2 linked regions of the Ovis aries genome follow. Each later gene encodes a partner of the first gene's protein in a complex. Links are inferred from orthologs where the notes say so. Each region holds a gene or a part of one and is shown on either strand. Other genes may lie near its edges. The genes, in order: UBL4A and GET4.

Region 1 (15,474 bases):
AGAAAGTCCAGAGTTCCCTCATACCCAGCCTCCACTGAAGCATCATCACCACCCAAAACCCACGGTGGACATTGGGGTTCCCTCTTGGTGTTGTGCACTGTGTTTGACAAGTGTTCATAACGACAAGTGACGGTTGAGTCACTAAGTCATGTCTGACTCTTCCGACCCCATGGACTGTAGCCTGCTAGGCTTCTCTGTCCATGGGATTCTTCAGGCAAGGATACTGGAGTAGGTTGCCATTTCCTTCTCCAGCGAATCTTTCCGACCCAGGAAATCGAACCCAGGTCTCCTGCATTGCAGGCAGATTCTTTACCAAGTCAGCTATGAGGGAAGATGCAACGACTGAGTACTTACCATTATAGTATCATCTATGTTCTTCATCTTTTTTTAACCTTCTATTATGGACATTTCCAACATCCTCTAAAGTAGAGAGAATAGTCTGATGGATCTGGATGTACCCATTGGGGCTGCCACAAGGATCAACATGTGGCCAGTGATTCATCTGCATGTATTACCTGCTCAGTCGTCACAGCAACCCCAGTGAGCAAGTGCTGCTGTGACCCCCATTTAGAGAAGAAAAATGGTCCCGGGTATACCTAGGAAAGCTTCCCTGGGGCTGGGCGGTTAGAAGCCAGCTAAATAGGGCTCCACAAAGTTAGTGACTTGCCCCAAATGCAATGCGCCTTAGTCAGGGGACGAACTGCAAGGCTGGGAGGTGCCTCTTATCAACTGCTATGCCAGCTGACCTGCCCCAGACCTTCATCGCTTACACTGGATTCACACAGATGGAAGCAGCAGGCAGGCCAGCTTTATCCCCCACATGGCCCAACACAGGCCAGGACGCTGACAATGGGTGGTGTGCAGCCCGCCAGACCTTCCAAAGTAGAGCACCATCTTTCTACACCCAGTGGTCCTCCTCCACCAGGGTTTTGTCCCCCAGGCCTACCCTCAGGAGTTAAGACATCCTCAGTTACAGTTACAAGAGCCAGGGTCCCAACCCAACTGGCACATGCAAAAATAAAGCCACGATAGCAGAAGGAGGCTGAATTTTCCTATAACAGACCCCCAACACCTGCGGGTGAGTCCAGCTCCAGTCATGTCCTCAGGGCTCTCGTATGTTAGCTCCCCCCTTTCTTTGTATTCGTGTCTTTTTCAAATGTGCTGACTTCCCAGGCAGGGGGAGCAACCCCAGCAAGAAAGAGTTCCCATCTTCCCAGTCCCTAGGGAACTACCTCTCATTGGTCCAGATTGGATTATGGGTTTATCTTTGCCTCAATCTGTGTGGCTCTGATTGGCTACCTCTGTGTCATGCACCCCCCCAGAGGCCAGCACTGGGGTCATCTACATGCAAACCTGTGTACCAAGAGTGGAAGAGAGATGGCCCACTAAAGAAAACTTGCACCACAACCTGTAGCTGGGCTTGTAAAAACGCCAGTTGTGACTACATTTCCCGGTAAATACCAAATGCATCCCATATTCACGCTTGTATAGAATATGCCTTCCGTGCCTGCTAATTTATCACAGTCTTCCTGGAGGCCCCTGCCTGGGAAAGCAGGAGGTAAGTCCACTTCTCAGCGTCATCACTGTGCCCTGTTAGTGGGATGGCGGTGGGTCTCCCATCTGAAGTGCCCTGATGTTCTTTTAGCTGTAACTATCATTTGTTCCATCTGTTTTCTTGGTCCAGATGACTTCTCCTTTGGAACTAGATATCCTTGACTGACTCATAGAGACCTTCCTTCTCTTCTGGGGTAAATTATTAATCCTCAAAACTAACTACAAACATTCTTGTTTTTTTTGTTGTTCAGTCACTAAGTCGTGTCCAACTATTTGTGACCCCATAATTTTAATTTAGCCACCCCTTTTTCCTGGAGGGAAGCCCTCCAAATTCCTTCAGGTCAGACACCCCCCACCCCACCAGCCCCCTCTGGCTTTTCAGGGAAGGCTGGATAGACTAATGATAATGGGGAGCAGCCTTCTAACTACATTTGTTCTCCTTGACCCCTGACACCAATTCTCATCCAGCTGGGAATATAAAAATGAAGGGTTCCTCAAGGGTAAACAGATTGTTTAGGTTTTCCATCCTCAATGTTCAGCTGATCCATCCCCCTTCTCTCTCTGGCCACTTTTACCCCATCCTCAGACAAGGACAGCACCACTGCTCCTTTGCAAAATTGCAGTCTTCAGCCTAGCATGTGCCCTCTCACCTGTGCCACCCTGCTTCCATCAGGACCTCTCAACCCCATTTGAGAGGGACAGTACAGAGTTTCTGGGATACTAAGTCAACACACACACAAAAGGCTTATGTCTTAACTGAGACTAAAGAACAGCCTAGAGCTACAGCTCTGAATGTTTCTTGATCACTGACATAAACCCTCTTGAGTGTGCACCCCACCATGTGTGTCTATCTGCTTACACATCACATGAATGTACTAATCTGAACTTTATAACACACAAATACAGTTCTCAATAAATAAGGCTAAATTAAAATTAATAGGTTTTTATTTAGATGATTACAGTTATCATTTGTTGGGAAAATAAAAATAGATATGCTACAGGTCTTTTTGGACATTCTCTACGATGTGTCTTAGGAACCTTCTTGGGGCAAGAACCTGGAACTTTGGGAACCACTGGCCTCCATCACAGCCCTGACAAGAGGTTCTTCCAGAGCAGTGGGTAGCTATTGTCCCGCTGCCTGACTGCGGTTGCCCAGCAACCTTTGGGAACATACAAATCTCCTTTGATTCTACACTTGTTCACTTTCTTCTCATATCCATGTTCTACACCCTCACCACCTTTTTGCCCTTCCTTATGCCATGTGTTTGCATTCCTTCTCCGTGAAACCTTAGGACCTTGCTGGTGGCCCCAAATAGTTTTGAAACATTCAAAAATCCACTGATCTTTCACAGGGTGGAAACAGGCGCTCGGTCATTGCTTGAACGTAGGAAGGTGGAACATGGCCGAGACTGGGTCCCAGAGTCTGGGTCCTTCAGAGTCGGCCCTCTGGCCACAGGGCTAGCGCCCAGAGTAGGCACGTGACAGAAACCCTGATTCCTGGGTCCCGCCACTAAGCAGCAGCTCCCGGGCGTCCTAGCTTGGCTAAGGGCTAAGCATATGTCCCACTGCCCCCAGAGGTCGCAGCGTGGTTGGGAAGGAGTGGGGTGCCTACCGGTACGGGTCGCCCTGGCAGCGACCACAGAAGACTGGGATACGCGTCTCGCTAGCCACACGAGACAGCGCCCAGCGCCAAACCACAGCGACCCGGAAGGCGGCCAGACCGGCGGGCACGCACGCAGACTCGTCGCTCCCGTGTTACGTCACATCCGGTCTAGGCCCGCCCCGACGGTGAGAGGTGAGGGGACCGCCGTGGGGTAGGAGGGGCGGGAGCGTGGGGCGGAGGCGGAGGCGGTGCTTCGTCGGGCTCCGGGCGGAGCCCCGGCTGGCAGCGCTCGCGGGCGTCCGCCGGCCCTGCAGGCGCTGGCTCCGGCGCCGTTTCCGGGCCGCCGAGGCAGGTGAGAGCCTCAGGCCAGAAGGGCGGTCGGAAGGCGACTTCTGGCTCCGGCCAGTTTCCTCCCTCGCTTGCTGTGGCGGCCGGGCGCCACGGAGAAGGGTCGCCGCCGGGCGTTCGTGCAGCCGCGGGGACCGGGAGTGGCGTGAGGGATCCCGGGGCCGCCCGGGCGAATCTCCGGCCTGCCGGCTGCAGGGCGCTCCTCCCCCTCTCCCTCCCTAATTTCTGCCCGAGCTCTGATCCGCCCTGTCCGACAACTTCCGGACTCCCAGGTAGGGAGGAGCCCCGGGTCAGCACTGCCAACTGCACCGACACCGAACACTTGGCCAGTGAGGGGAAAACCTGCTGACCCGGGGTACCCTCCCTCGTTTTGGGGCGTATCTGCCCAAACTCTCCTGGCACCTCAAGCAGAAATGGTGGGATCTGGGCCGGATCCCCCATACAGTGACTCAAAGCCACCAGCAGTACTGGAACGACGGGGTGCATGGCCATTCACCTCCTCTGCCTTCTGAACTGGTTCACACCAGACCGGTGGCTTCAGTCCCAGGTGCCTTTGTTTCTTCCCTGTGAGTCCCCTCCACTGTACTTCTGCTCCCTCTGGTTTTCCTGCCTCCCTCTTCAGCGGTGGGACCCAAGGCTGGATCAAGGCCTCCAGGGTAAGTAACCCAAATGCCAAGCCAGGAGAGGCTGTGGCATCCCAGGGTGGTAGAGGATGACTTTCCCAGGGATGAGCCTTGTGCTGAACCAGCCCTCCACCACCTACTTCCACTGCTCCCCAGTCTCAAATGAGACTATCCCCGATAGGATCTAGAGATGCAGGGGCCTCTTCCAATACTCGGACAATGCCAGGCATGAGTTAGTCAACAGTAAGGATGAAGAATTACTGTATCCTCATCTTGGTTGCCCCAGTTCCTGCAGGACAATAGGGTGTGGGCTGCCCAAATTGAGAAGTGGAAAGAGGCAAACGTCCTTCTTTCCCCTTGAGGCAGCCCACCCCTCTAGAAACACTCCTCAAGGGTAGTTCTAGGCTCTGGTAGGGGTCCACGTGGGCATGGGAGGAATCCCTGAACTCTGATCAGAGCCTCTCAGATGGCACAGTGGCTCTAGGAGCTCCAATTCTGGGCCTGCCAGGGGAGTGAAAGCTCTGACAGAAAGGGGAGAAACCTCTCAGTGGACACGTGGCCATGTCTGATCCCTTTCTGCTGCCCCTTCTGGCAACTTCCCTGGGGAGAGAGGGGACCTGCTTCCTCCCAGAACCTCCATCTTGCCCCTGTCAGCAGGTAGGTAGGCCAGATGGCCACACACAGCAGCACCGTTCACATGGCAGTGGTGAACATCAGCACATGGGGCCTTTGGCCCGGGGGTCACCCGCTGCCCACACCACTTTGCCAGCTGCTCTCTGCTGGTCAGATGACACTCAGATGCCGTGAGCTGGCCTGCTCTCATCAGGCCTGCTTCCTGGGCATCCCTGGGCTGTCCTTCAGAGATTTCCTCCTGGTTGTGGTACTGCCGCAACTGTGCCTCAAAGCAAGTGGGGCACAGGCTAGTGGTGACAAGATTGGGGCTGATCCCCTGGTGTCAGGCCATCTCTGAACTGTCAAAATCAGCCTGAATCAGCAGGCCGAAGGCAAAGTTCTACCTGTCCCTTCCCCTTCTGGGGAAGCTTGAGGTAGTTGTGACTGGGGAAGGGACACCCGAATGGCACTCAAGGGCCATCCCCAGGCTTGCAGCAAGGAACCCGGCTGAGTCTCCCAGCAGTGGGCTTCTCGGTCATGCTCCTGGGCTCACAGCTGCTCGCCCTCACCAGCCACCGCCATGTCCCTTCTCTTCTCAGGAAGAGCTCTACCATCAAGAAAGGGAGCCCAGCACCAGACCTCGCCCATGGACCCTTCTGAGGACCACCCAACGGCACCAGCAAGGCTGGTCTCCTAAGCCACAGAGGGCCTGCATGCCCCACCGTTGGGAAGGAGCCATGGTGTTTAGGAGTGGTGAAGGCTGCTCCCTGCAGTGGCCTGGCCCAGAAGGGGGCACTGGTTGCACGGGCCCCCAAAGCATGCTCAGGGCCACCCTGCTGCTTGTCAGCCTGCTGTGGGGGGCCCGGGGAACAGCCAGTGCCAGTCTCAGCCCGGCTCTGGGCCATCCCATGCCCCTGACCAGGGGCCGCTACCTGAGCATTGGAGATGGCTCTGTGATGGAGTTTGAGTTCCCAGAAGAGAGCGAGGGCATCATTGTGATCACAAGCCATTACCCAGGCCAGGGCAACGGGACAGGACCCAGCCCCATGCTGAGGGTCACCTCCCTGGACCCAGAGGTGCTGACCATTAAGAATGTGAGTGCTATAGCCTGGGGCGGCGGTGGCAGCTTCGTGGTAAGCATCCGCTCGGGCCTGCCTGGGATAGCCCCACTCCACATCCAGCTCACGGACCCCCGCGAGGCCCCGCCCAGGCTGATCGAAGAGCGGAGAGATTTCTGCATCAAGGTCTCACCCGCTGAAGACACCCCCATCACCCTCGGCACTAACCTGGTCCACTTCTCAGAGAACCCAATCCTCTACTTGCTCCTGCCTCTTATCTTTGTCAATAAGTGTTCATTTGGGTGCAAAGTGGAGCTCGAGGTACTGAAGGGGCTCTTGCAGAACCCCCAGCCCATGCTGCTGGGCCTTCTGGGCCAGTTCCTAGTCATGCCCTTCTATGCTTTTCTGATGGCTAAGGTCTTCATGCTGCCCAAGGCCCTGGCTCTGGGCCTCATCATCACTTGCTCGTCGCCCGGCGGCGGGGGGAGCTACCTCTTCAGCCTCCTCCTCGGAGGGGACGTCACTCTGGCCATCTCTATGACTTTCATCTCAACGGTGGCTGCCACCGGCTTCCTGCCGCTGTCCTCAGCCATCTACAGTCGCCTGCTCAGCATCCATGAAACACTCCATGTGCCTGTTTCCAAGATCCTGGGGACCCTGCTGTTCATTGCCATCCCCATTGCAGCAGGCGTGGTAATCAAGTCCAAGCTCCCCAAGTTCTCGCAGCTGCTGCTGCATGTCATCAAGCCCTTCAGCTTTGTGCTGCTCCTGGGTGGCCTCTTCCTGGCCTACCGCATGGGGGTCTTCATCCTGGCAGGCGTCAGGCTGCCCATCGTGTTGGTGGGCTTCACAGTGCCCCTGGTCGGCCTCCTGGTGGGCTACGGCCTGGCCACATGCCTGAATCTGCCAGTGGCCCAGCGGCGGACTGTCAGCATCGAGGTTGGGGTGCAGAACAGCCTTCTGGCCTTGGCCATGCTGCAGCTGTCCCTCCGCCGCCTCCAGGCTGACTATGCCTCCCAGGCCCCTTTCCTTGTGGCACTTAGTGGCACCTCGGAGATGCTGGCCTTAGTAATTGGCCACTTTATCTATAGCAGCGTGTGCACCGTTCCCTGAGGCCCCCGGGTCAAGCTTTCACCAGGCACCCCCAGCCCCCAACCTCCATCAACTGTCCCCACCATTCTTGTGTACCAAAGGCCTTTAGTTCTCATGCACTATGCACTCAGAAAAAAAAAAAAATCCAGGCTTATTTTTTTTACTCGTTTTTTATTCTCCAGCTTTCAGTGCCAAAGAGGCCATGCTGAGTTCTGTAAGCGGGCACTGCCCAGAAAATATATTTCAATAAAACAGAAGCAAGCTTGGGTATCATGCTGTCTTTGCCCTCTGAGGCCTGCGGGTCGGGGAAGGAAGGGCGTGGTGTGGCCAGGTAGGTGTGGGCCAGGATGGAGGGCTGGCTTGGCGACACAGTGACCTCTGGCCAGATTTAGCCTTCCTCGCCCCTGCATCACCTCTGAGAGCTGTGTATCTGTTCTAGAAGAAGCAGTGGGAAGGGCAGAGGCCTGACTCCCCCACCAGATCCCAAGCTCAGTTGCTTTTCCACAGGTGAAGTAAAAAAGAGGCCGGCGGGTGGTGAAACGAGCTCGGCGGGGCCGGGTCTTCTGCAGGCTCCTGAGAGGCAGGGGATGGGATGGGCATCAGCGTTGACCTGCTCTGCCCACGGGCGGTGGCGCGCGAACTCCCGGCCCGCCGTCTCCCCGGGCCCAGCTCCCCAACTCCTTCGAGCGAGCCCGACTGGTCCCGCCACCCTTTTCCACTCTCCGCGGGCTTCTGGGCTCCGTCGCCCCGGGCTCCGCGGAGGACAGTCCAGGTTGTGGGGGGAGGGGCCGGCGGGGCGGGGCCGCGATGCCCGGCTCGCCCCTCGCGATGCTTCCGGCGGCGGCGGGCGGTTCCGGCGCGCGCCCGGGGCGGCGGCGCGCGGCGGCGGACCGTTGGGGTGCGCGCCGGCCCGAGTGGACGCCTCGGCGGCCGCCATGCAGCTGACGGTGAAGGCACTCCAGGGCCGCGAGTGCAGCCTTCAGGTAGCATCGCCGGGCTGGGTTGCGCGGTCAGCCCCGCGGGTGCGGGATCGAGCCGCGGGAAGGGACGGACCCGGCGGGCTAGCCGCCTCGGGAGAGCCACCCTCCGCGCGGGCCGCGGCTTCACCCCCCGCCCACCTTTCTCGGCCGGGACAGGTGTCGGAGGACGAGCTGGTGTCCACGCTGAAACATCTGGTCTCCGAAAAGCTGAACATCCCCGTCCGCCAACAGCGGCTGCTGTTCAAGGGCAAGGCCCTGGCAGGTAACCAGGAAGAGGGGACGCTGGGGGAGACCCGCGGGAAGCCAGGGGACGGGGCGTCCAGCCCAGGCCCGGGCAGCAGTGTAGGTGGAGGGGGCTCTGGCTAGGTGACCCCCACCCCCATCCCGGGAGTTCACCGCTGCGCTTCGCCTAGGCTCTCCGAGGGTCAGTGCGACCCTCTCTCCCTCTCTCCCTCTCTCCCTCTCTCCCTCTCTCCCTCTCTCCCTCTCTCCCTCTCTCCCTCTCTCCCTCTCTCCCTCTCTCCCTCTCTCCCTCTCTCCCTCTCCCTCTCTCTTTCGGACAGATGGGAAAAGACTCTCCGATTACAGCATCGGGCCGAATTCCAAGCTCAACCTAGTGGTCAAACCTCTGGAGAAGGTGTTGCTGGAAGAAAGCACTGCGCGGAAAACGGCCGAGGCCCCAGCCCCACCGCCCGCCGCCTGGCCGCTCATTTCCAGAATCCTGGCCCAGCACTTCAGCGCCGCCGATGCCAGCAGAGTCCTGGATCAACTCCAGAGGGTGAGAAGCGTGGCCCAGGACCTCTGCATCCTGCCCACCTGCCTCTGTCCCAGCGGGCCCCCCCGCCCCAAGCCACACCCCTGAATCCTTCTGGCTTTCTCTCTTCAGGATTATGAGCGGTCCCTGAGCCGCCTGACGCTGGATGACATTGAACGTTTGGCTGGCCGCTTCCTGCACCCCGAAGCGACTGAAGCTATGGAGAAGGGGTTCTCCAAGTAGGATTCTCGGAGTGTGGGGAGGAGCCTGGCCAGGCCACAAGCTGCATGTAGCATTAAATGTCTTCTTGTATTGCAACTTGGCTCATAATACTGCCTGGCGGGTACTCGGGTACCTGTATCTGGCTCATGTTAGGTGCCAGGCCCCACTCAAAGCTCTTGACCCAGGTTGGCTCCCACATGTTGCACAAAAGGTGAGACAGCCGAGGCTCCTAGCGGAGAAGGCAAGGAGCCAGATTCTGAGTCCAGCCAGCTTCCAGAAGTACTTCAGGGTGAGAAGGAGAAAAGGGTCGTTCAGACGGGTTCTGAGGGGTGGCCATGGACATTCCAGGTTTAGCCCACTGAGGAGAAACCCTCGAGCAATACCTTTTCCAGGCCTGGAAGGGGAAGCAGCTAGCCCCTGATGCCCAGTTCTGTCACCTCATCCTTGACAGGTCCGGCATTGGCAAGAGGTCAGGTGATGGCCAGCCTTGGGCCCCCTTAGTGACTGCAACCAGTATGCACTCAAACGGAAGGCGGGCTGGGGAGTCTAGGATGTCACCCGACTCTGGGGAGTGACACGTAGGTGCCACGTTGGTCCCCAGCCTTCAACTCTGCTCAGTGAGGGCTGTTCTTGAGACTCTCTTAGTTTTCTTTAGCTCCAAAGCCTGGGGTCAGGAGTCTGTAGGCATCCTACTCCTGTGTCCCAGATACAAACTGAGGCCAAATTCTGAGTGATGGCCAAGCGTGGCCCAGAGACGGAATGTCCTGGCCCTTAGTGTCACAGATTTTCTCTGGGCACCCCCTTCTTTTCTCCTCCCAGACACAAGCGGTCCATGACCTTTAGAGATGACAGGTGATGGTCTCGAGGTGACTCGAGCAGGCCCCTGTACCCTTTGCCCATCCTCTGCCACATGTGGACAGGGCCTCCCACTGTGCACACCACTCACTGTCTGAGAGGGAACCTGGGTGGGGGCAGAAGCTGGGGGGTGGGTCGTAGAGATCGTCTAGGCACCTGCTCCTCAGAGGAGGGCACCTGGGCCACTCTCCGGCCTGAGCCTCATAGGGTAAGTGCTGGGTCCCCAGGTGGGGAGGACAGACAGTGGCTCGAGGGCCAAAGGCTTTGAAGAGCAGGTGGAAGTCCATGGCTCCACCCAGGAGCTGGGCATGCACTGCCACAAGGTTCATGTGATAGACTTCCCTACGCTCTCATTTCTTTGTAGTCAGGAAATTTTATATTGACCTTCTCAGTCACACTAGAGGTGCATGTGAGACTTTGACCTGAAAGGAACTCTATTAGTTGAACTGCTTTTGGTTTCCCCATCGTTGATTTAACCATTACAGGACATAGGTTTAAGCAATAAAGAGAAGGTATTGGTTTGCGAAACTGAGAAGTCCAGGGGTATTGGCAGCAGATAAATGATTTCCCCAAATACCCAGTTTCTTCCTACCTCCCCTCTGCACTCTGCAGTGTCTGCTTCATCCCAGGCCTCTACCTCAGGATCAGAAGATGGCTGCCTGCAGCTTCCACCGAACCCCTCGGTCACAGCCAGCACGGAGCACCTTCCCGTCCTCTAGCGTAGCTTCCTCCTCAGCTGCCCCAACAAATAAACGCTGTCCCTTTTGGATGCTTAGAACCGGGTGCCTCCATCATTTTATCAGGGGCTTGGGTGGGCTGTGGAAGGGAGAGGGCAACTCTCAGGAAGGCCGGGTCCTCGGGGAGAGCTGACGCGTGCAGACGGGTCTTGTTGACAGACACAAGAGACAGCTGGTGAGTCTTGTGTGCCTCCCGACTGGGAGGTGATGACCCTGTGGTAGCTAGGAGCCATCTGCTGGGTGCAGAAAGTCATCGGGGAGCTCAGGCTGCCCATGGAGACAGGAGTGGTGTCTCCCAGGTGTATAGTAGGTGCCTTGCTGACAGGCCCGACAGGCTGATTCCGCGGCCCTGTGCAGTTTTCCACGACATTCCGGAGGGCCTGTGGACACAATGTCCCAGACACTGCGAGGATGCATGAAATTACTTCCCAGAGAGCATGACCGAAGAAAGGGGAGAGCACTGGACCTGGGGGAGACTTCACCAACTGGAGACACTGCAGAGGCCAAGGCACCTCTGCAGACGCAAGGCCACAGGGAGAGCTTGGAGTCAGAGGCCAGGAAGGCCCCTCCAGCCAGGGTACAGAGTGTATAGTGCTGCCAAGAAGCAAAAGAGGGCAGCCTCCTGTCAAGCTAACAAGAAGGTCATTGGTGATATTAGGGCAAGAAGTTGCTGCATGGTGGAGAGGGGGAAAGTCTTGCCAGTGACTGGAGACCCCTGGTTCCAGAAGCTTGTCTGGGCAGGAGTGTGTAGCTATGGGGGGTGGGGGTGGGGAGACAGGGAAGAGGTGCTGGGATGAGAGATGGGAGGCCTAGGTGGGAAGGGGCCACGGAGGCTCTGGTCTAGGCCTTGTGCCATCGCTAGAGGATAGAATGGCCACGGGCTGTGCCCTGCCTTTGTCCTTAGTTTCTGGGTGAGGGGGTGGCCCCATGTACACTGCGGGCTCCAAATGCTGCAGTATCCTTCCATAGGGGCTGGAATGTTTAAGGCCATCACTGTGCCCCTTGAGCCAAGTGTCTGCCCCAGAGGTGGGCACTGACCCCCCCATTACCACTCCCATCCCCTGGCCTGAGACCACTCTCTCCTCGTGGAGGAGCCTTGAAACAGCCCCACTAGGAGATGGCAGGGCGAGTGAAACGCCCAGCTGAAGTGGCCCCAGACAGCAACAGTCCGGCACCTGGAATAAGATGCCTGTGGTGCCACTTGCCATGGGCACACTGGCGGAGGGGTAGGCTCAGAGGAAAGCAGCGTTTCCTTTGGGGTGGGGCTTGCTGAGCTGGAAAACGCCCAGGCAAAGATCAGCTGCATGCACAATTTGCTGGTGCCTTGCTTTCCACGCAAGCCTGGACAAAAGCCAGCCTTACCAGGTCCAATAGATCTGACAAGTGCTGCTGAGGACGGGTCAGGCCCTGCCAGCGGGAGATGCAAGGGCCATGGCGGCCTCTGTGCCCTGGGCCTTGGAAAGCCTGCGGGAGAGATGCTCACCCCTGTCACCCTGTCCCCCTCCAAGGCCCAGCCAGAGCAGCCTCCCGGAGCTACTGGGGACCTGCCCCAGGCCACCTCTTCTGCCTGCCCTCTCCACCTCTTCTGCCTGCCCTCTCCAACTTTTCCTTCCACTTCCCCTAGCTCTGGGCTTCCCTGATAGCTCAATTGGTAAAGGATCCGCCTGCAATGCAGGAGACCCCGGTTCAGTTCTTAGATCAGGAAGATCCCCTGGAGAATGGATGGGCTACACACTCCAGTATTCTTGGGCTTCCCTGGTGGCTCAGCTGGGAAAGAATCAGCCTGCAATGAGGGTGACCTGGGTTTGATCCCTGGGTTTGGAAGATCCCCTGGAGAAGGGACCAGCTACCCACTCCAGTATTCTGGTCCATGGGGTCGCAAAGAGTCAGACACGACTGAGCAACTTTCACTTTTACTTTTCACCTGTGCTGGCTCTCCCCCAACACACCCATCTCCTACTTATGGGGGACACTGAGGCTCCATCCCCAGATCTCTTCTCCGGATCTCTCACTCCCTGGGGAACCTGTCTGCCTTCATTGCCATTTCTGTGCTTTGTGTCCATGTCTGCAACTTACCCCAGCCCCATCTCTGAGCTTCGGGCCATGGCTCTGGGTTGTGACTCTGAAGCCGTGTCCAGCTTCCCTGCAGACACCTCCTGTCACCCCTTTAGTGCTTGTGATGTCGGTGGCACAGGGACTGGAAGACACAGTTCCTTCCTGCCTGGCACCCATGTGCCCAAGGTGAAAGGCAACACCACTGGGTCAGGCTTTTGATGACAGGAAATGGGAGGCCACCTTTGCCTCTCCTAACTCTCCCTTGTCCATGGGCCATCAAACAGCAATGCTTTTGGAAGAGTCTAGGGCACTGGCCTCATAGCAAGTCCCAGGATCTGGATTCGCCTCCTTCCTTGCTGGTTAGATTCAGCTTAGGCCTTCTGAGGAGAGTGGCCACCCAGGGCAGGCTGTGTTCCTCCCCACGCAATGTGAAGGAGGCTCAGTTTGATCACTCAGTCTCTCCCTGGTAAAGCTGCCTTCTCCGTTCCTAACACACAAGTCATCTGGGTGATACCTTGAGACCCAGGGATTCTCTTTTCCCCAACAACCTGCATCTCATGGTCTTACCACCCAAGGATGCTCCCCATTTGGATCAGTTCAACTGGATGAATTGCACAGGTGGCTGCAAAATGGTGGATTTTCTTGGGTTGTCTTGCTTTCTGCAATTATTAGTTGGCATTTCTCTACAAAGAGCTTTCCCTTTTCCCTGCTGTCTTTTCTTAGTTATCATGGTGGACGCTTTTTTTTATTCAACAACTTAGAATCTAAGTTGTCTAAGTGTCATTTTGGGGACAGTTTTTACTGCATTGTAGCATGCATACAGTAATGGGCATAAATCATCGATATACAGCTCAACAGAATTTCAAAGTGAATATACCCATGTGTGCATCCCCTCCAGATTGAAATATATACATAATGTCTGCCTATATATTACGTTCCCTGGTGCCTCCTCTTCAAAAGGTTTAATAACCTTTGGGGTGCTCAAATTGTTCTAGCTTTGGTTCTTTCCAGTTGGCTCCCATGTCTCTTTCACATGTCCCATTCTTTTCCTTTTCAAGCATATCCTTCCTTTCTGACACTACAAGGTGCTCCAGGCTCCTCTTGTATTTTTCCCTGACCCACACCTAGAATCTTCCATTTCTCGAGCTCTGGTCCCTTTTAGTGGAGACTGGTGTTGAGAACCAAGTTCTGGGTACAGGGAACATTCTTTGCTACTGGAGTGACATTGCTTCTAGACTCTCACTGGACAAAACTAGGCAATCTATTTTTTTTTTAAGAATTCATAATGTGATCCCTAATTCCAGTCTGGTAGCACAGTTCTATCTCAGCTTCCCTCATTCCACACTGATGTTCCTAACAACAGCAAAAAACAACCGTATATGGATATGTTTACTCATCTCTTCTACTGGATACAGTCTACCTTGCAGTATACTCAAAGTAGCTTCAGAATCACCTCAGGACTATCATTACTAACAACACACATACTGAGAATAAAGCCGATTCTTTCTGTCCTTAGAATATATCCCATAAAGGGAGCACCGTCAGAGAGTGAGTTTGAAAGTTTCGTGACTCATTTTCTCTGTGTGGTTGTTACTAACTGGATATGCAGTTAGGCTGACTTGCTTTTGTTTTTATTCTGTTTTAGCATTTTTTCCCCTCTTTCAAATGTATTTTTGAATATATAAAATATTTTATGGTTTAAAGTCAAAACTACACAAAAAGATATTAATATATTACAAGAAATCCTATACCCATCTCAACCCCCTATCAGTGAGAATTTTCACTAGTTTCAGGGTTCTCCATCCCCTTTAGTTTTTTTCCCAATAAGCATGTGTATCTATGAGTGTGTGTGCACAGGTCGTTTGCACTCAGCTTTTTTCTTCCCCCCACATAACAATGGAAATCATTTCATTTTTCTTTTTATTTCATTAGAGATTTTCATTGTTTGGTTGTTTTTTTTTTTTTTACTGCTGCTTGGGAATATATTGTCATCCTGCTTATTTAACTTATATGCAGAGTACATCATGAGAAACGCCGGGCTGGAAGAAGCACAAGCTGGAATCAAGATTGCCAGGAGAAATATCAATAACCTCAGATATGCAGATGATACCACCCTTATGGCAGAAAGTGAAGAGGAACTAAAAAGCCTCTTGATGAAAGTGAAAGAGGAGAGTGAAAAAGTTGGCTTAAGGCTCAACATTCAGAAAACTAAAATCATGGCATCTGGTCCCATCACTTCATGGGGAAACATGGGAAACAGTGTCAGACTTTTATTTTGGGGGCTCCAAAATCACTGCAGATGGTGATTTCAGCCATGAAATTAAAATATGCTTACTCCTTGGAAGGAAAGTTATGACCAACCTAGATAGCATATTGAAAAGCAGAGACATTACTTTGCCAACAAAGGTCTGTCTAGTCAAGGCTATGGTTTTTCCAGTAGTCATGTATGGATGTGAGAGTTGTACTGTGAAGAAAGCTGAGCACTGAAGAATTGATGCTTTTGAACTGTGTTGTTGGAGAAGACTCTTGAGAGTCCCTTGGACTGCAAGGAGATCCAACCAGTCCATCCTAAAGGAGATCAGTCCTGGGTGTTCATTGGAGGGACTGATACTGAAGCTGAAACTCCAGTACTTTGGCCACCTCATGTGAAGAGCTGACTCATTGGAAAAGATCCTGATGCTGGGAGGGATTGGGGGCAGGAGGAGAAGGGGATGACCGAGGATGAGATGGCTGGATGGCATCACCGACTCGATGGACATGAGTTTGGGTGAACTCCAGGAGTTGGTGATGGACAGGGAAGCCTAGCGTGCTGCAATTGATGGGGTCGCAAAGAGTCCAACATGACTGAGCGACTGAACTGAACTGAAGTAATTTTGTGCATATGTTGTTTCATATTTGTGAAGTAACTGGTACATGTGGCATTCCTAGGCCCAAGACACTGTCTGAGTTTTTGAGGGGATGAGAAGGGGGCAACAGAGGAT
Region 2 (15,317 bases), on another chromosome or scaffold:
GCACACGTCTTTCAGGGATGAACGGTGTCACCAAAGCCGAGAGCTGAACTCCCTCCCTTTAGGATGAGCTGCTCCTCTGTTAGCATAAGTGGTCCTTTATATCAGCAGGTGCAGAAGTAATGAAAATGGGGTTTCCTGCTTAGCATGCTCCCGCCGCTGAGAAGGATTTTCCATCATCCCTTCAGGAACCCTGGAGTGTTTGCCTTTGTTGCAGGTTTGAAGTGTATCTGACTCAAGAGGGGATGGTCTGGATCTGTATAAAATATAAATAGAGTTCTCAGGTCTCCACTGGGCTCATCCCATCAGGTTCTCCCTGCAGTTTCACTTCACACTATGAATAGGAACCAAGAAATCCAATCTTTTGGGTATTTTCAGGTTTTGTCTTGAATTTTGCTGCAAAGCAAACACTAACATGCTCTGTCTTTCAGAGGCTTATGTTTTTATTCCACTTACAGTTATTAAAGGAGATTGTCCCACGTGGCAAATTCATGAAACCAGGACATTTGGTGACACTGTTCTTACAGCAGCACTTTGTGCTGGCTCTGGTTGGATTTGCCTTTTATTACGACTCGGCCATTCTCTTTGTTTTGGTTATAATTAATATTTAATATTTAGACTTTCACTGAGCAGACTTTATAAATGTATCTGCAAGGCACTTAAAGTTACAGATGTTTTACCTTAAGAATTATTTAAGTTTTATTGGGTTAAGACAGTTTTTTGGTGTACCATAAATGTATTTTCAGAAAAAGACAAAATGATGGTGCTGACTGGTTTTCTGAAGAGTTTTATGTGCATTGCACAACAGTCCTCAAATATACGACAGCCACATACACTAGGGTTTTTTTTCACTCTTGTCAGAATTGAAACTAATGCCTATGCAGTTAAGTTGAATAAAATGTATACATATGTTTCATATATTACAGGATAAATATATAAATCAAAATTTCCTATATAAAGCTAAATTTGGGAGATGGGGTGGAAATATTTTGAATATTTATTTTTAAAGATGCGAGACAGGACTCTGTGCAATGTATTTTTGTAAATGCTTTTCAACATACTTTGGTAGAGCTTCTTTGCTGCCACCAAATTGGTAAGACGCTGCCGAAATGTTTAAATAAAGAGTTTTAACTTTTTAAAGCGCATGTGACGTTTCAGATGGATAATAAACAGTATGTTCTTTTCTCTACCTGCTTCGTCTCTGCCCCGGGCGATGAGGGGGACACAGTGCGTTGAGCGACCCCTCCTCCGACCCTTTCCGGCCGGGTCGCCTCTGCCGGGTCTGGGCCGGGGTCGCCGGGCAGCGAGCCTCTCGGCGCGCGCGCCCCCGCCCCCGCCGTGCGCGTGCCCCTGGCGGTGGCCGTGCGCGCGCCCCCCCGCCGTGCGCGCTCCCGCCGCAGACGCGTCTCCGCGTTTCCCACGGGCCCCCCGCGAGCAGTCAGCGGCGGGGCCGGGTGTCGGGCGCCGGGGCCGAGCGCTGCGCCCGGACCCCGAGCCGCCGGCGCCCCGCTGAACGGCTGGGAGCACGGTCTTCCCCGGACGGCCTCAGTGTCTCGGCGGCCGCAGCCGCGGCGGGGCGCGCCCTGCCCGCGCTCCCGGGCACGGGGCCGCCGCCGCCGCCATTGTGGCGCCGCCCCGCCCCGCGGTCACGTGCGCGCCCGCGCCCCGCCTCCGCGGCCGCGCGCGGCCCCTCGCGGGCCACCGTAGAGGGCACCCGGAGGCCGCCGGGACGGAAGCCGAGAGGCGCTGCCGACCGCGCCTGCGACAGCGTCAGCCCTGCGCGGAGCGCCGGCCCGATGGCGGCGGCGGCGGCGATGGCCGAGCAGGAGAGCGCCCGGAACGGCGCCCGCAACCGCGGCGGCGTCCAGCGCGTGGAGGGCAAGCTGCGGGCCAGCGTCGAGAAGGGCGACTACTACGAGGCGCACCAGATGTACCGGACCCTCTTCTTCAGGTAGGCGCCGCGCCGCGGCCGCCGCCTGCCGGGGCTCCCCGCCCGGCCGCGGAGCCCGGCGCCCCGCCCCCGGCCGCGCCCCATTGGCCGCGCCGCGCCGCCCCGCGCCGCCATTGGCCCGCGCCGCTGCCCGTCGCCTGGGCGGTGGGAGCGGGCGGCGGGGAGGCGGCCGGGGGCGGGCTGCAGCCCGGGAGCGGCGCCGCGGCCCCTCGCCCGCCCCCGCGGCCCCCGCCGGCGCCCGGGCCCGCGCACTCCGGCGCCCGACCCGGAGCCCCCCGCCCGGGACTGGAGCTCCCCGCCCCCGACCCGCGGCCCCGGCCGGGACCCCGGGTGGGCCCGAAGCCCTGGCCGAGAGTGCGGACGGCCCGGGTGCCGGAGCCGCCGCGGCCGCTCGCCCCCTCCCCCGCCCTGAGCGCCGTTGAGTCCGAAAGCCTCGCTGCGCGCCCCCCGGCTCTCCCTCGGCGCCCGGCCGCGAGGCTGTAGACAGGCTTCTCCTGCTGCGTCGCCCTTGCTCACCGTGGTACTGACCCGGCTGTTTCCGTGAAGCCGGTGTTTTTGTGGTGCGTGTGCGGCTCGCTGGCCACGTGCGGCAGTTGAGCTTCTGGAATGTGAGTCCCTCACAGGATGGGCCGTGAGCGCAGAGGAGAGGTCAGGTAGCTTCGGGAACTACTGCCTGCTCGGCCGCACTGGGTGGAACGCGATGTCGCTGTTGGGGTGGCCTCAGGGGCTGCCCGGGCGCCGCCTCGCTCGGTTCTGCTCGGGACTGCGGCGCGCCACACCGTTTCTGCGGTCACTGCCGCTGCTGCTGTGATTTCCTAGCTGTCTCTCTGCGCGTCAGGCATTGCTGTATATTACATAAATGCTGTCAGCCTTTAGGGTTCTTGCCAGAAAACACTTGGGCTATTTGTTAGCATTTAAAGATAATTTTAGAGGATTTAATCTGTTCTGCGGAATGTTTGTGTTTTTTTTTTCCAAACTGTCCCACGGCGGCAAATACTTTGCTGTGATGTTTATGGGCAGTAAGGTCTGCCTTAAAACATTTAGGCCTGGATATAAATTTTTCTTTTAACGGCGGGTTGAATCAGTGTCTTGGGAACTCTGGCAGTGCTTTCTGTTTTGGTGGTTGGTTGGTTGGGACGCAGTGCGAGTGAGCCTGCCTCAGATCGTATTTGGGCTCGGTGGCCCAGAGGACCAGGGAGCAGGGAGTTAATTGTCCTTCAGGGGATGAGTCAAAGGTGTAAGCAGGTTTAAAGTCTGTAACATGGAGCCTTCTGCCCGGAGCCCAGCCAATGAGATCTGTAGGATGGGAGCTCTGTAGCGCTTGAGATTTGCCTGGTGCTTGCTGTTCTCAGGGATTTGTGTATAAATATTTGCCCCAGTGATTAATCAGCAAAACTGGATCGTCCCAAAAATAAACACAGCGTTCCTTGTTGTGAGCCAGCTCTGCAGTCGCCGCTGTGCCAGGAGCGCGATTGTCGATTAGCTTTGAAGTGGCCTCCCTGTGCCCGAAGTGTGCTTTGTGGTGACCACCAGCCCTGCCTTGACTTGTATTCACATTTCTCCTCTGCTCAGTGACCTGTAACCCAGGACAACTTGCTAAACCTCTTCTCCACGTCTTGGCTTCCTCTTTGGTCTTTGAGGGGCTCCTACACGTGTTCAGGACTCCTGAGAAGTGAACGGTCAGCTGTGGACCCAAGCAGGGTGGCGTTAGTGGGCGTCCAGAGGGCCCAGCTGAGTCGGCCTGCAGGGCGTCATCCGTGCTCAGACCTGCGGTTGCAGTCCTGGCTTAGAGCTCTTTGTGGCTGGCAGCTTCCGAAGAAGTCAGCCTCACTCTTGTAATGACTTTTTATAAGTGCTTTTAAGCATTTATATAAATGTACAATTTGATGGGTTTTGACATATGTATTCACGCAAGAAATTATCACCAAAGTGCTGAAAATACTCCTCATGCCCCAGAGCTTTCTCTTCTGCCTTTAAGATGACTTTTCACCCCTGGCCCCCAGGCGTCCACTGATCTCTGTTATGATACGTGGGTTTGCATTTTCCGGGATTTTGTGTAAGTAGCATTGTATAGCATGTCCTCTTTTTATCTGACTTCTCAAGTTTCCTTAGCGTGACCGTTCGGAGGCCCACCCTTAACACGTGTCACTAGTTAATTATTGTTGAGTGGCAGCGGTTGCGGGGGCCGCATCGTCTCATCCGGTCACCTGTTGGATAAATTCACCTATCTGTGCTATTTTAATTCGCTTACACTGTGTCCCCCAGCAGCCTGAGGAGGGGGAGAGGAACTGGTTTGGATTTACAGGGTGTGTGCTGCGCGAGGGGGGCAGGAGCTGCTGGTTCCAAGGACGAGGGCGGCCGAGCTCCGTCCCAGGTGTTACGGGCACTCTCTTCAGCCTTCTCTCTGCCGGGACAGGAAGGGCTCAGACATGTCCATCTGCGGCGTGCAGAAAGCGCGTCAGGCTTCGGGGCACCTGTCGCTGCTGGGGGGTTTCCAGCCGCTGGCGGTTCTCCCGTGGGCAGGGCTGCCAGGACTGTGTGGCTGTGGTCACTGGGAACCGGGGCTGCTGCCCCAGGAACCCGGCCTGTCTGCCTCTCGGGCCTCCGGTCTCTCCCTGGCTTTTTAGGTGCTTGTCTCTAGCTGTGCTTCGGGGGAGGATCCGGAGCCTGTCGTGTGCGTGAAGCAGAGCCCGCTGTGAGCATCTGTGCCGTGGCCTGCAAGGGCTGGCTTTTCCAGAAGCCCGGCCCACGCCCGCAGGTGCCCTGGGTGCTGCCCGGGCTGTGGGTGTCTCCTCCTGGTCCCACCCTGTGCGCCGAGACTGAGGCTGCTGCTCCCGAGCCGGGTGCATAAAAGCCCTTTTCCGTAGTTGGTCCCGGCCTGAGCCCGAGGGCAGCAGGGCTCCCCTGTCGCCTCTCCTGCGCGCCTGCTGGCCGCGCACCTCTCGCATCTCCCACTCGGCTTGTCTGGGCTGGAACACAGGTCTGACCGGCTAGGCGGGTTTCGGGCCTGTTTGTCCGAGAGGAACATGTGGCCAGTGGGCCTGGTGTCCTGTGCTCAGCTCAGGCCTGACCCTGCCACCCTGGATCTCTGTCTTGCTTGTTGTGGAGGAAGCACCCTTTGTATTCTGTGTGGGCCTCATTGCCCATAGGTCCGCCTGCAGTTGGGAAGCCAGCTTTTCCCAACTCCTGTCCCCAGCGAGATGCCTTCCCGGTGGAAAGCACTCAGGGGAGGGGACGGCCTCGCAGCCCATCGGCCCCGATGCGTGGTCCTGGCCAGGTTCCCCTGCCTTTTGTCACGGTCAGACCTGTGTCTGAAGCTGGAAGTGGCCCTCAGCCCCTCCCTGGTCCCTCTGCTGAGACCCCTGCCCTGCACCAGGAAGGTGCTGCTGTGGTCGGAGACGGTGCCCACACGCGGTCACCAGACGGGGGTGGGGAGTGGCCGAGCTTAGCGGGCCTGTGTGGTGGAACCTGACGGCCTGCCCTCTCTCCCGCAGGTACATGGCCCAGAGCAAGCACGCCGAGGCCCGCGAGCTCATGTGCTCCGGAGCCCTGCTGTTCTTCAGCCACGGACAGGTGAGCCGTCAGCGCAGAGCATCCAGGGAGAGGGCTGGAGGGCGACCCTAGCGTGCCCGTGTCCCGCCTCGGTGCTCAGAACTGTTTCCTAGGTGCGGTCGGCCACTGGTTTTTAACTGGCAGCCAGAGCTGCTGGCCAGCCTCCCCGCCTTCTGAAAACTGGCAGGAGCCTCTCTTCCCACTGACCAGCCTCTCTAACGTTTTACAGCAAAACAGCGCCGCTGACCTGTCCATGCTTGTCCTGGAGTCTCTGGAGAAGGCAGAGGTCGAGGTGGCCGACGAGCTGCTGGGTGAGGCGGCCCGAGCCCCACCGTGCACGCACACACGCACGCGTGTACTCACATCTGCACGCACGCGTTCGCGTGCTCACACACTGAGGCCTGCACGGACCCTGGGGGGGTGGCTGTGGACACCCGCAGCCCGTTTCCCGCCTGCCCGCGCCGCTCGCGGGCCCCGCTGGGGAGGCGCCTGGTGAAGGCGGGCGGCGAGTGGTCGGGTGGCCCCAGGGCCCCACCACGGTGCCTGCCCCCGGGGGTGGTGGTTTCGCTTCTTTTAGATGCCCGGTTCAGAGCCGAAGCCGCGCGCGTGCCTCCGGGTCAGGCCTGTGTGCTGTCGTTTTGCAGAAAGTCTGGCCAAGCTGTTCAGCCTGATGGACCCCAACTCCCCGGAGCGAGTGGCGTTCGTGTCCCGAGCCCTCAAGTGGTCCAGCGGTGGGTCAGGGAAGCTGGGCCACCCCCGGCTCCACCAGCTGCTGGCCCTCACCCTGTGGAAAGGTAGGTGTGTTCGGGTGGCCGCGGGCGCTGGGCTCTGCATCCGCCACCCCCACCGGCCCGTCTGCACCCACCGCTCTCTTCTAAATGGGCAACCGCGGGCAGGGCGTCGCCGACCCATCAGCGCTGCGGCAGTCCTCAGGCCGGGTGGACACATGGCGGACACGGGCAGGGGCCGTCACACCGCACCGATGGGCGGCCTTGTCCGCCCCGGCCTGTGGCGGTTCAGAAGGCTTCGGCTAGAAGCCACTTTGCTCTGGACGCACGGGCCGGGCTCTGTCCGCACGGGCCGGGCTCTGTCCGCAGGTTGGCTGGGCCCGAAGGCCGCTCTGCGCCGCCTTGTCCGCCTGCGTGCCCAGCCTACCCGAGTCTGCGGAGCCGGGTGTGTGCGGCTGGCGCCTGCGCAGAGACCTTGCTGAGGTTGGGAGCTGTGTATCTCTGGTACACGTATATTAAAGATTTAAAGTTGAAGATCTGAGTATTTTAAGGGTCTCAAGCACAGATGGTGGGTGAGGTTGGCGGGACCCTGCGCACGTGGGAGGCTATGCTGAGGGGTGTTTGCAGGTCCCCCCTGTGATGGGCACCCCCCAGGGGTGTGTGCGCGGGGCCAATGTCCTGTGAAAGGGCTGTAGGAGCCCTGGCCCCCTGAGGTCTCGTGCAGCTGCTTGCCCGGGGCTGGAGGACGCTGGAGACTTGCCAGGTTTCTCCTCTCACCTGGAGGCTGTGAAAGCTCTTGGGGTTGGAGGGAGAGGAGACCCCGGAACTAGCTCGGTGCTGGAGGCGGCCAGGAGCTGGCTGTGACCTGGGGCTGGGCTGTGCTGGGGAACGGCTGGAAGGTGGAGAAGGCTTAACCCGAAGCAGTGGAGACTCCCCTGGAGGAGAGGGACCCAGTGTGGCGGGTGAGCAGGACCTAGGGTCCCTACCCTGTAGCTGGGTCTCAGCCTCTGTGCCACCGATCCCGGGTGTCCTGCCAGCTCTGTAGCTGCTGGGTGGTCTGGGGTTGGGGTTGGGTACCGTTGGCACCCCCAGCTGTGACGGTGGACAGTAGCTCCAGGCATCCCAGTGTAGGACTGAGTGGCTGGGGTACTGGGGTAGGAGCTGAGTGGCTCTGGGTGGGAGATGTTGGCTGGAAGGTGGGTTGGGGGATGGGGGCCCCTTCACAGCTCCAGTCCTCTACTGAAACTGGGCAGGCTGGGGCTGGGGTTACCCACCCAGAGGGCAGTAGCCAGTGTGGAGTCAGAGGCTCAGAAGAGCTGAGCAGCAGAGGACGGCTGGTCCCCAAAGAGCCCGCGTCCAGTCCTGGGTCCTCGTCAGGATGGCAGACGTGGGCAGAGGGCCCCTGGGCTCCACCCTGCGTGCTCCACTCCCGGGGGCCTCAGGTTCTGCCTTCCTGGCTTGCTCCCAGCTGTCCCCATGGTGGGGGCAGTCTGGCCTCTGCTGGGTCCACCGAGCAGGTGGCGTGCGCGGACGCCACGGGGCCCTGTGCTCACGTCGCGCTCACGCCCACCCCCCGCGCTCCGCCCGCAGAACAGAACTACGGCGAGTCGCGGTACCACTTCCTGCACTCGAGCGACGGCGAGGGCTGCGCCAACATGCTGGTGGAGTACTCCACGGCCCGCGGCTTCCGCAGCGAGGCGGACATGTTCGTGGCCCAGGCCGTCCTCCAGTAGGTACCCGCCTGCTGCCCCCTCCTCGCGTGTGGTGTCCCGGGGCCCCAGGCTGGCCTCTGGCCGAACCTCACGCAAGCACAGGTCTGAAGTCACTTGGCATCCCACACACGCCTCACGTCCCCAAGCATGACGCTGCCGCTGACCTTCAGGGGCTCCAGACCTGCCCGCCCTCAAATCAACTTGGACGCTTCTGTTGACAGAAGTACTTTTTACGCCTTAAGTTACTTTTTTGTTGCCGTGCATTTTGTTTTCCTATTTATCCGTCACATCTGGTTGGGAGGGAGTTACTCTTTTGGTGGGACACAGGCATTCACTGAATTTTCAGCGCCACGCTGGGATGTGAAGTGTCCGTATGACACGGGTCTTGTTCAGAGGCGGCTTGTCTTCCCGACGTCTCTTGGTCCAGACACGGTGATGGGGGGCCGCCCGCAGCTTCCCACCCAGCTCTGTGTCCCCGCTCTTCTGTCCCAGCTGAGTCTTCTCTTCTGAGTTGTTTGGACAATTTATTCTAAGGACGTTGTGGTACAGCAGAGTCGCTGGAGGCGGGAGCACCGCGTCAGGCCCACATGGTGGGGAGCTCACGCGAGGTGACTGGGGCCCGGCCTCTCCCCCCAGCGGATACACCGCTGCTGTGAATGAGGTCCACCTTCCCAGAGAGGACTTGGGTCGGCGGCCAGGCCTCGGGCCAGGCCGTGTCTCGTGAGCTGGGGGACAGGGAGCTTCGGAACCCCACCAGCACCACTTGTTGCCGAATCTGGACTCCGGGAACAAAACCAGTCCACCATCCGGAGCGCCCTGACCCCAGCTTGGCGGGTGGTGCTGATGTCCCCTGCGGCCTCTGCCCTTCCCTGCCCATCTGGCTGTGTTGTGGGCCCACGCTGCGCTGAAATCTGGCCACAGACACGTCCTCCACAGGGAGGAGGCCAGCGCTGGGCAGCATCCAGCCCAAGTGCTCGCCGGCAGGGCAGGCAGGCACTCGGGCTCAGGGAGCTGCTGCTCCCCTCTGCTGACCTTGGCCGGGCGCCCTCTGGAGTTAGTCCCCACGCTGTCAACCCCAGCTCCCTGCGCCGGGCCTGGCAGGCACCTTAGGCGGGCGGAGCAGGGCTGTGGGCCCCCATCTCCTCCTCCTGAGGATGTGTGCAGCCGCTGATTGGGACGTTTCTTATTTCCAGGTTTCTCTGTTTAAAAAACAAAAGCAGCGCCTCGGTGGTGTTCACGACGTACACACAGAAACACCCGTCCATCGAGAGCGGGCCTCCTTTCGTGCAGCCGCTGCTCAACTTCATCTGGTTTCTGCTGCTGGCCGTGGACGGGTGAGTGTGTGCGTAGGGGCGGTGCTTGTGTGAAGGCACTGGAGGTGTGCAGAGGCATGTGTGTGGAGGCGTGTGTGTGTGTGGAGGCGTCTGTGTGGAGGCGTGTGTGTGTGTGGAGGCGTGTGTGTGTGTGGAGGCGTGTGAGTGTGTGGAGGCGTGTGTGTGTGGAGGCGTGTGTGTGGAGGCGTGTGTGTGGAGGCGTGTGAGTGTGTGGAGGCGTGTGAGTGTGGAGGCTGTGTGTGTGTGGAGGCGTGTGTGTGTGGAGGTGTGTGAGTGTGGAGGCGTGTGTGTGTGTGGAGGTGTGTGTGTGTGTGGAGGCGTCTGTGGAGGCGTGTGAGTGTGTGGAGGCGTGAGTGTGTGCAGCCGTGTGAATGTGTGGAGGCGTGTGTGTGTGGAGGCGTGTGAGTGTGGAGGCTGTGTGTGTGTGGAGGCTGTGTGTGTCTGTGGAGGCGTGTGTGTGGAGGTGTGTGTGTGTGGAGGCGTGTGTGTGGAGGCGTGTGAGTGTGTGTGGAGGCTGTGTGTGTGTGTGTGGAGGCTGTGTGTGTGTGTGGAGGCTGTGTGTGAGTGTGGAGGCGTGTATGTGTGTGGAGGCTGTGTGTGTGTGGAGGCGTGTGTGTGCAGCCGTGTGAGTGTGTGAATGTGTGGAAGCATGTGTGTGGAGGCGTGTGTGTGTGGAGGCGTGTGAGTGTGTGGAGGCGTGTGTGTGTGGAGGCTGTGTGTGTGTGGAGGCTGTGTGTGTGTGTGGAGGCTGTGTGTGTGGAGCGTGTGTGTGTGTGAGTGTGTGTGTGTGTGTGGAGCGTGTGTGTGTGGAGGCGTGTGTGTGGAGGCTGTGTGTGTGGAGGCGTGTGAGTGTGTGGAGGCGTGAGTGTGTGGAGGCGTGTGAGTGTGTGGAGGCGTGTGTGTGTGGAGGCGTGTGTGTGGAGGCGTGTGTGTGGAGGCGTGTGTGTGGAGGCGTGTGTGTGGAGGCGTGTGTGGAGGCGTGTGTGTGGAGGCGTGTGAGTGTGTGGAGGCTGTGTGTGTGTGGAGGCGTGTGTGTGGAGGCGTGTGTGTGTGTGGAGGCTGTGTGTGTGTGGAGGCGTGTGAGTGTGTGGAGGCGTGTGAGTGTGTGGAGGCTGTGTGTGAGCGTGTGTGGGCGTGTGTGTGGCGTGTGTGTGGGCGTCGGCCGTGTGTGCTGTGAGTGTGTGGCTGCGTCTGTGTGTGTCAGTGGTGTGTGTGTGTGTGGACTGTGTCGTGTGTGTGTGGAGGTGTGTGTGTGTGGCGTGTGAGTGTGTGGGGCGTGAGAGGCTGTGTGTGTGGTGAGTGTGTGCGTGGGGGTGTGGAGGTGTGTGGTGTGGAGGTGTGTGTGTGGGAGGCGCGTGTGGGGCGTGTGAGAAGCTGGGGGTGGGGGGTGTGTGTGTGGAGGTGTGTGTGGAGGCGAGTGTGGGGGCTGTGGGGGAGCGTGAGTGTGTGGAGGCTGTGTGTGGCGTGGAGGCTGTGTGGAGGCGTGTGGGGAGGATGGTGGTCCTGGGTGTGCTGCTGCTGGGGGAAGCTCACGGTGTTCACGGTGCTGTGGGGAGTACCAGCTGGGGGATGGCGAGGTGAGGCGGGGAGGGCTGTGGGAGAAGCTGCATGGGCGTGGGGGGTGGGGAGAAGAGGGAATGGGGAGACGCTGGGGGGCGGTGGGAGAAGCTGGAGGGAGGCTGGGGGAGACGCTGGGGAGACCCTGGGGGGCGGTGGGAGAAGCTGGAGGGAAGCGGGGGGACTGGGGGAGACGCTTCCGGGCGCGGCCCGGCTCAGTGCCCGCCCCCCACAGTACCTCGACAGGATAGGACAGCTCTTCTTCGGTGTGCCGCCCAAGCAGACGTCATCCTACGGAGGCTTGCTAGGTGAGGGGGCTCACGGGTGGGGGTCCGTGGGTGCGGCTCAGAGCCGAGTGCGTCCGGGGCCCGACGTTGGCAGGGGGGGTGCTGGCCCATCTCCCCGCCCCCCGGGAGCCCCGGCCCTCCGCCTCCCGAGCAGAGCGGTAGGGCCTGTTGCCCCCGGTGAATGCTCTCCCCGGGGCTCCTGTCTGTTGACCGCAGAGTCAAAGCCGGCTGTGCTTTGTGGTAAAACACACGTTAGATGCCGCTGCCCACCTCAGCCGTGCCGTGGGGCCGTGAGGCTGCAGTGGGCACTGGTCCTGGCCGAGCCCCAGCCCTCCTCTCGGTCCCTGCGAGCCTGGCGCCCCCCGGGGCCTCACCTGGTGGAGTCGGTGCCTGTCCGGTGCTGGCTGCGGCCGGTGCCGTGACTCCCTTCCTCTCTGAGGCGGCGTGTGTCCCGTCGCGCGCGTGGACCGCGTCTTGTTGACCTGCCCGTCATCAGCAGGCGCGTGGGTTCTCCCCCTTGGCCCGCTGTGAGCGTGGCTGTGCCCGCCGTCTCCGTGAGGTCTTGCTTTCGGTGCTTCTGGCTGGGCCTGTGCGATTGCTGAGCACACGCCCTCCGCCCACGGCGGCTGCTCCGCTCTGCACGGCCGCCGGCGGGGCGGAGGGTCCGGGGCCTGCACGGCCGCCTGCCGCCAGCACTTGCTGCCGGCTGCTGGCGGCGGCGTCGGGGCGCGGGGGCGCCGGACCCGCGCTGCCGGGGCTGCCGCGTGTTTGCTCAGGGACCGAGCACCCCTCTTCCGTGTGCTCGTCGGCCGCTGGCTCATGTCGTTTCCCTAGCTCTGAATCTGTACTGGCTACCAAGTCCTTACCAGACGCATGAGCTGCGACTATCTGCCCCCATTCTGTGGGTTGGCTTTTTTTTAAGCAGTCTTACGTCCAAGCAAGACCAAGAGGAAGGTAGGGAGGTTTCCCACCAGTGCCCCTCCGCCGCCGGCGCAGCCTCCCCGCCTGCAGCGGGTCCACCTGTCAGGACGCCCCTGCTCGGACGGCCTCACCACCCGGGGCTGAGGACGCCAGCGTCACTCTGGTGTCTGTGAGTTCGGACAGGCGCCCGGTAGCGTGCACACGCCGTTACTGTGGTGCTGCCCTGAAGACCTCTGTCCGCCTGTTCTCGCCTCCCCTTCCTCGGCACCGTTTTACTCCCTGGAGTCTGTCTGAGATTCTTAATTGGAGGGTGACGCTTTACGGCGCCGCGCTGGAGGGTGACGCTTTACGGCGCCGCGCTGGAGGGTGACGCTTTACGGCGCCGCGCTGGAGGGTGACGCTTTACGGCGCCGCGCTGGCCTCTGCCGCCCGTCGCGCGAGCCTGGAGCGTCTTTTGACACGAACGTTAAATTTCCACCCTGTTTTCTGCTGCTCTTCGTTGCTGGTGCCTTTGGAGTCATTTCCAAGCCCAGCGTCGCGAAGCGGTTGCCCTGTGGTTTAAGAGTTTTGCTGGCTGAGGCCTCCATGCGGTCCTTGGTCCGGTCTGAGGGGACCTTTGACGTGGTGCTTGCGCGCGCGGCCGTCGGCCTGGTTCCTGGGTGTGCGGGTCTCCAGTTTCCCCAGCACCGCGTGTTGGAGGACTGCCCTTTCCCCACCGAGTGGGCGCATCCCGCTTGCCCAAAGCCTTTTGCCGCAGATGTGAGGGACCCTTTCTGCGCTCGCTCTCCCGCTGGCTGGCGCGTGTCTTCCGCTCGGCCGCCCTGGTCTCTGTGGTTTCTAGGGCGCGTCTGTCTCTGCGCCCCAGTGGGCTGTTCCTTGCCCGCCAGGCTCCTCCGCGGGATTCTGCAGGCAGGCACACCGGAGCGGGTCGCCGTTTCCTCCTCCAGGGGATCTTCCGACCCAGGGGTCGAACCTGCGTCTCCTGCGTTGGCAGGCGGGTTCTTCACCACTAGCCGCCTGGGAAGCCCAGCCTCGATGCCTGTAGCTTTAGAGTAAGTTTTCAGATGAAAAAGTCCAAGACCTTAGTTTTGTTCAAGATTGTTTTGGCTGTTTGAGTCCCTTGAGAGTCCATGTGAAATTTAGGATGGGTTTTTTTATTTCCACAAAAAATGTTTCGGGGATTTGAGATTTCATTCAGTCTGTTGACAGCTTTAGGTAGTATTGACATTTGAACAATATTAAGTCTTTTTGTCTAGGAATATGGGATGTGTCTTCACCTACGTATCTTTCAGAAATGCTTTATACTTTTTCTGTCGTGAAATCTTTCACCTTCTTGGTTCAGCTAGTTAACTGTTTTATTCTTTTTGATGCTATTGTAAATAGAATTGTTTCTGTTTATACTCTTTGGAAATTTTTACATGTAAAATCATACCACTTGCAGACAGATAATTTTACTTCTTTTCAATTTGTAATTCCTTTTATTTTCTTGCCTAATTGCTCTGGCTAGAACCTCAAGTTCAGTTGACCCTTGAACACGTGGAGAGGTTGGGGTGTTGATTCCCTGAGCAGCCGAAAACTGGTGTGTAACTTAGAGTTGGCCGGCTGTTCATGGGCTCAGCCAGCTGCAGTGTGAGCATAGGAAACAAGCCCGCGTGTGAGTGGGCCGCGCAGTGGCCGTGTTGAGCAGGAGTGGGGCAGCGACCCTTTGGTTTCAGGGCAGGAGCTCCAAGCCTGTCACCGCTGTGGTGGCTGCTGTGGTCCACGTCTGGCTTTCATCACATCCTGGCGTGAGATGGTTTCCTTTCTGAGTGTGTTCATGAGCGTCTTGGCTTTGTCAAGCGCTTTGTCTGTAGCCATTGATGACCATTGGTTTCCCTTCACCTGTCAGGCTGTGTCACTGGCTGGTCTCCACATGTGGAGCCTCCCTCCACTCCAGGAGCAGAGCCCGCCTGGCCGTGGCGCTGAGCCTTTCCCCAGCTGCCGCTCTGGGTCTGCGAGTGTCCTGCTGAGGCGTTTGCGTCAGTGTTCATGAGGGATGTTGGTTTGTAGCTTTCTTTCCCTGCAGTGTCTGTTCTGGCTCTGGCACTTGACGGGCAGGTGGTCCTAGCTCAGCAGTTTCACCAGGGAAGCTATGAGGTTCTGGGATTTTCTTTGCTGGAGCCTGACTCCAGATCCGTCCCCTGACCCTAGAGCGTGTTGGGAGTGTGTGTCTTGGGCACTGGCGGGTGCGGGCCCGGACGCTGCCTCTCCGGGCCAGGCCTCTCCCTGCCCCGCTGTCTGTGCTGCCTCTGTCTCCCGAGTCCTGGCTGCCCTGCCCTCCCGCAGGGCAGGGGCCAGCTGAGTCCTGCACTCAGACGTGGGTTTTGGCATCGCTAGCGCTCTAGGCTTCCTCTTGAGCAGATGAAGCGCCTTACAGAGTCCACATGTGCCGGGCCCGCCACTGTCCCCGGGGGACATGCAGGCCAGGCAGCCGGTCTTCTCAGCTTCCTTGGGGGGAGCTTCGCACACAGGCAGACAGCCCCTTCTCCATGAACCCCCAGCCCCTGTCCTTTGCTGTGGAGCTGCCGTGGGCCTCAGGGCCCCCGGCCCGGGAGAGCAAGGCCCTCGGCTCGTCCCCTGCCCGATAGGCCATCGCAGGGCGAGCCTGCCCCATGGGGATCTGCAGGGAGGCTGGGGTGAGCGTTGTCGATCGGCGCTGCCACAGGGAAAGGTCTCCTGAATCATCTGAGCAGCTGTTTCCGCTTAGGTACAAGCCGGACTTGACCTGTAGGCGGAGTGGTGTGGCGTCAGCGGCGGGGTGGGGGCTGCTGCCCTTTTCTGGGCTCTCACCGCCTCCAGTCCTCCCGCCCCTCGGGCCTCAGCAGCAGCCCTGCTTTTCCGGCAGAACCAGTCCCAGAGTGCCGCCCTGGGGCAGGCTCACCCTCGGGGCACCACACACCCTTTCTTCCTTGCTCCCTTGTGTGGTTTGGGCTCGGGCACTTTATAAACTTTGCTCTTTGTATCGACGGAGGAGTGGTTCTTTGGATAAAAATTAGGTAAAGTGGCCCAACGAGGCCCACAGGCGGCCACAGTTGCTTTAGAACCGACACATCTCCTTTATTCCTGGGGCACTGGAGAGGTAACCTGCGAGTGAGTGAACCCGCTGCTCGGTCCCCGGTGCCCCAGGCCTGTGCTGGTGGCCGTGCCGGGCCCCCGCAGGCCCCCCGGGGCGGAAGGAGGGCGTGGGGCAGGAGGAGGGCGCAGGGTGGGGCCGCGGGGTGGGACCGGACTGGGGCTGA

Evidence for each region.
Region 2: UBL4A (region 1) and GET4 share a complex: the UniProt entries of both Homo sapiens proteins name them as parts of the BAG6/BAT3 complex. The link is inferred for Ovis aries from reciprocal best matches to the Homo sapiens genes UBL4A and GET4.

Annotation. Positions count from the first base shown.
Region 1 is NC_056080.1:79,947,319-79,962,792, forward strand, and holds UBL4A (ubiquitin-like protein 4A), read left to right. Parts: upstream 1-7,782; 5' UTR 7,783-7,825; coding exon 7,826-7,873; intron 7,874-8,026; coding exon 8,027-8,132; intron 8,133-8,433; coding exon 8,434-8,648; intron 8,649-8,756; coding exon 8,757-8,863; coding exon of another isoform or gene 8,864-8,867; exon of another isoform or gene 8,868-9,297; coding exon 9,298-9,421; 3' UTR 9,422-9,424; exon of another isoform or gene 9,425-10,313; coding exon of another isoform or gene 10,314-10,425; 3' UTR 10,426-10,479; downstream 10,480-15,474. Other genes in the region: SLC10A3 (P3 protein), read left to right, coding at 5,454-6,911. UniProt on the Homo sapiens protein: As part of a cytosolic protein quality control complex, the BAG6/BAT3 complex, maintains misfolded and hydrophobic patches-containing proteins in a soluble state and participates in their proper delivery to the endoplasmic reticulum or alternatively can promote their sorting to the proteasome where they undergo degradation.
Region 2 is NC_056077.1:42,174,148-42,189,464, reverse strand, and holds the start of GET4 (Golgi to ER traffic protein 4 homolog), read left to right. Parts: upstream 1-1,735; 5' UTR 1,736-1,793; coding exon 1,794-1,948; intron 1,949-5,442; coding exon 5,443-5,521; intron 5,522-5,729; coding exon 5,730-5,811; intron 5,812-6,144; coding exon 6,145-6,294; intron 6,295-7,818; coding exon 7,819-7,957; intron 7,958-9,133; coding exon 9,134-9,273; intron 9,274-10,794; coding exon 10,795-10,829; intron 10,830-11,024; coding exon 11,025-11,139; intron 11,140-15,317. UniProt on the Homo sapiens protein: As part of a cytosolic protein quality control complex, the BAG6/BAT3 complex, maintains misfolded and hydrophobic patches-containing proteins in a soluble state and participates in their proper delivery to the endoplasmic reticulum or alternatively can promote their sorting to the proteasome where they undergo degradation.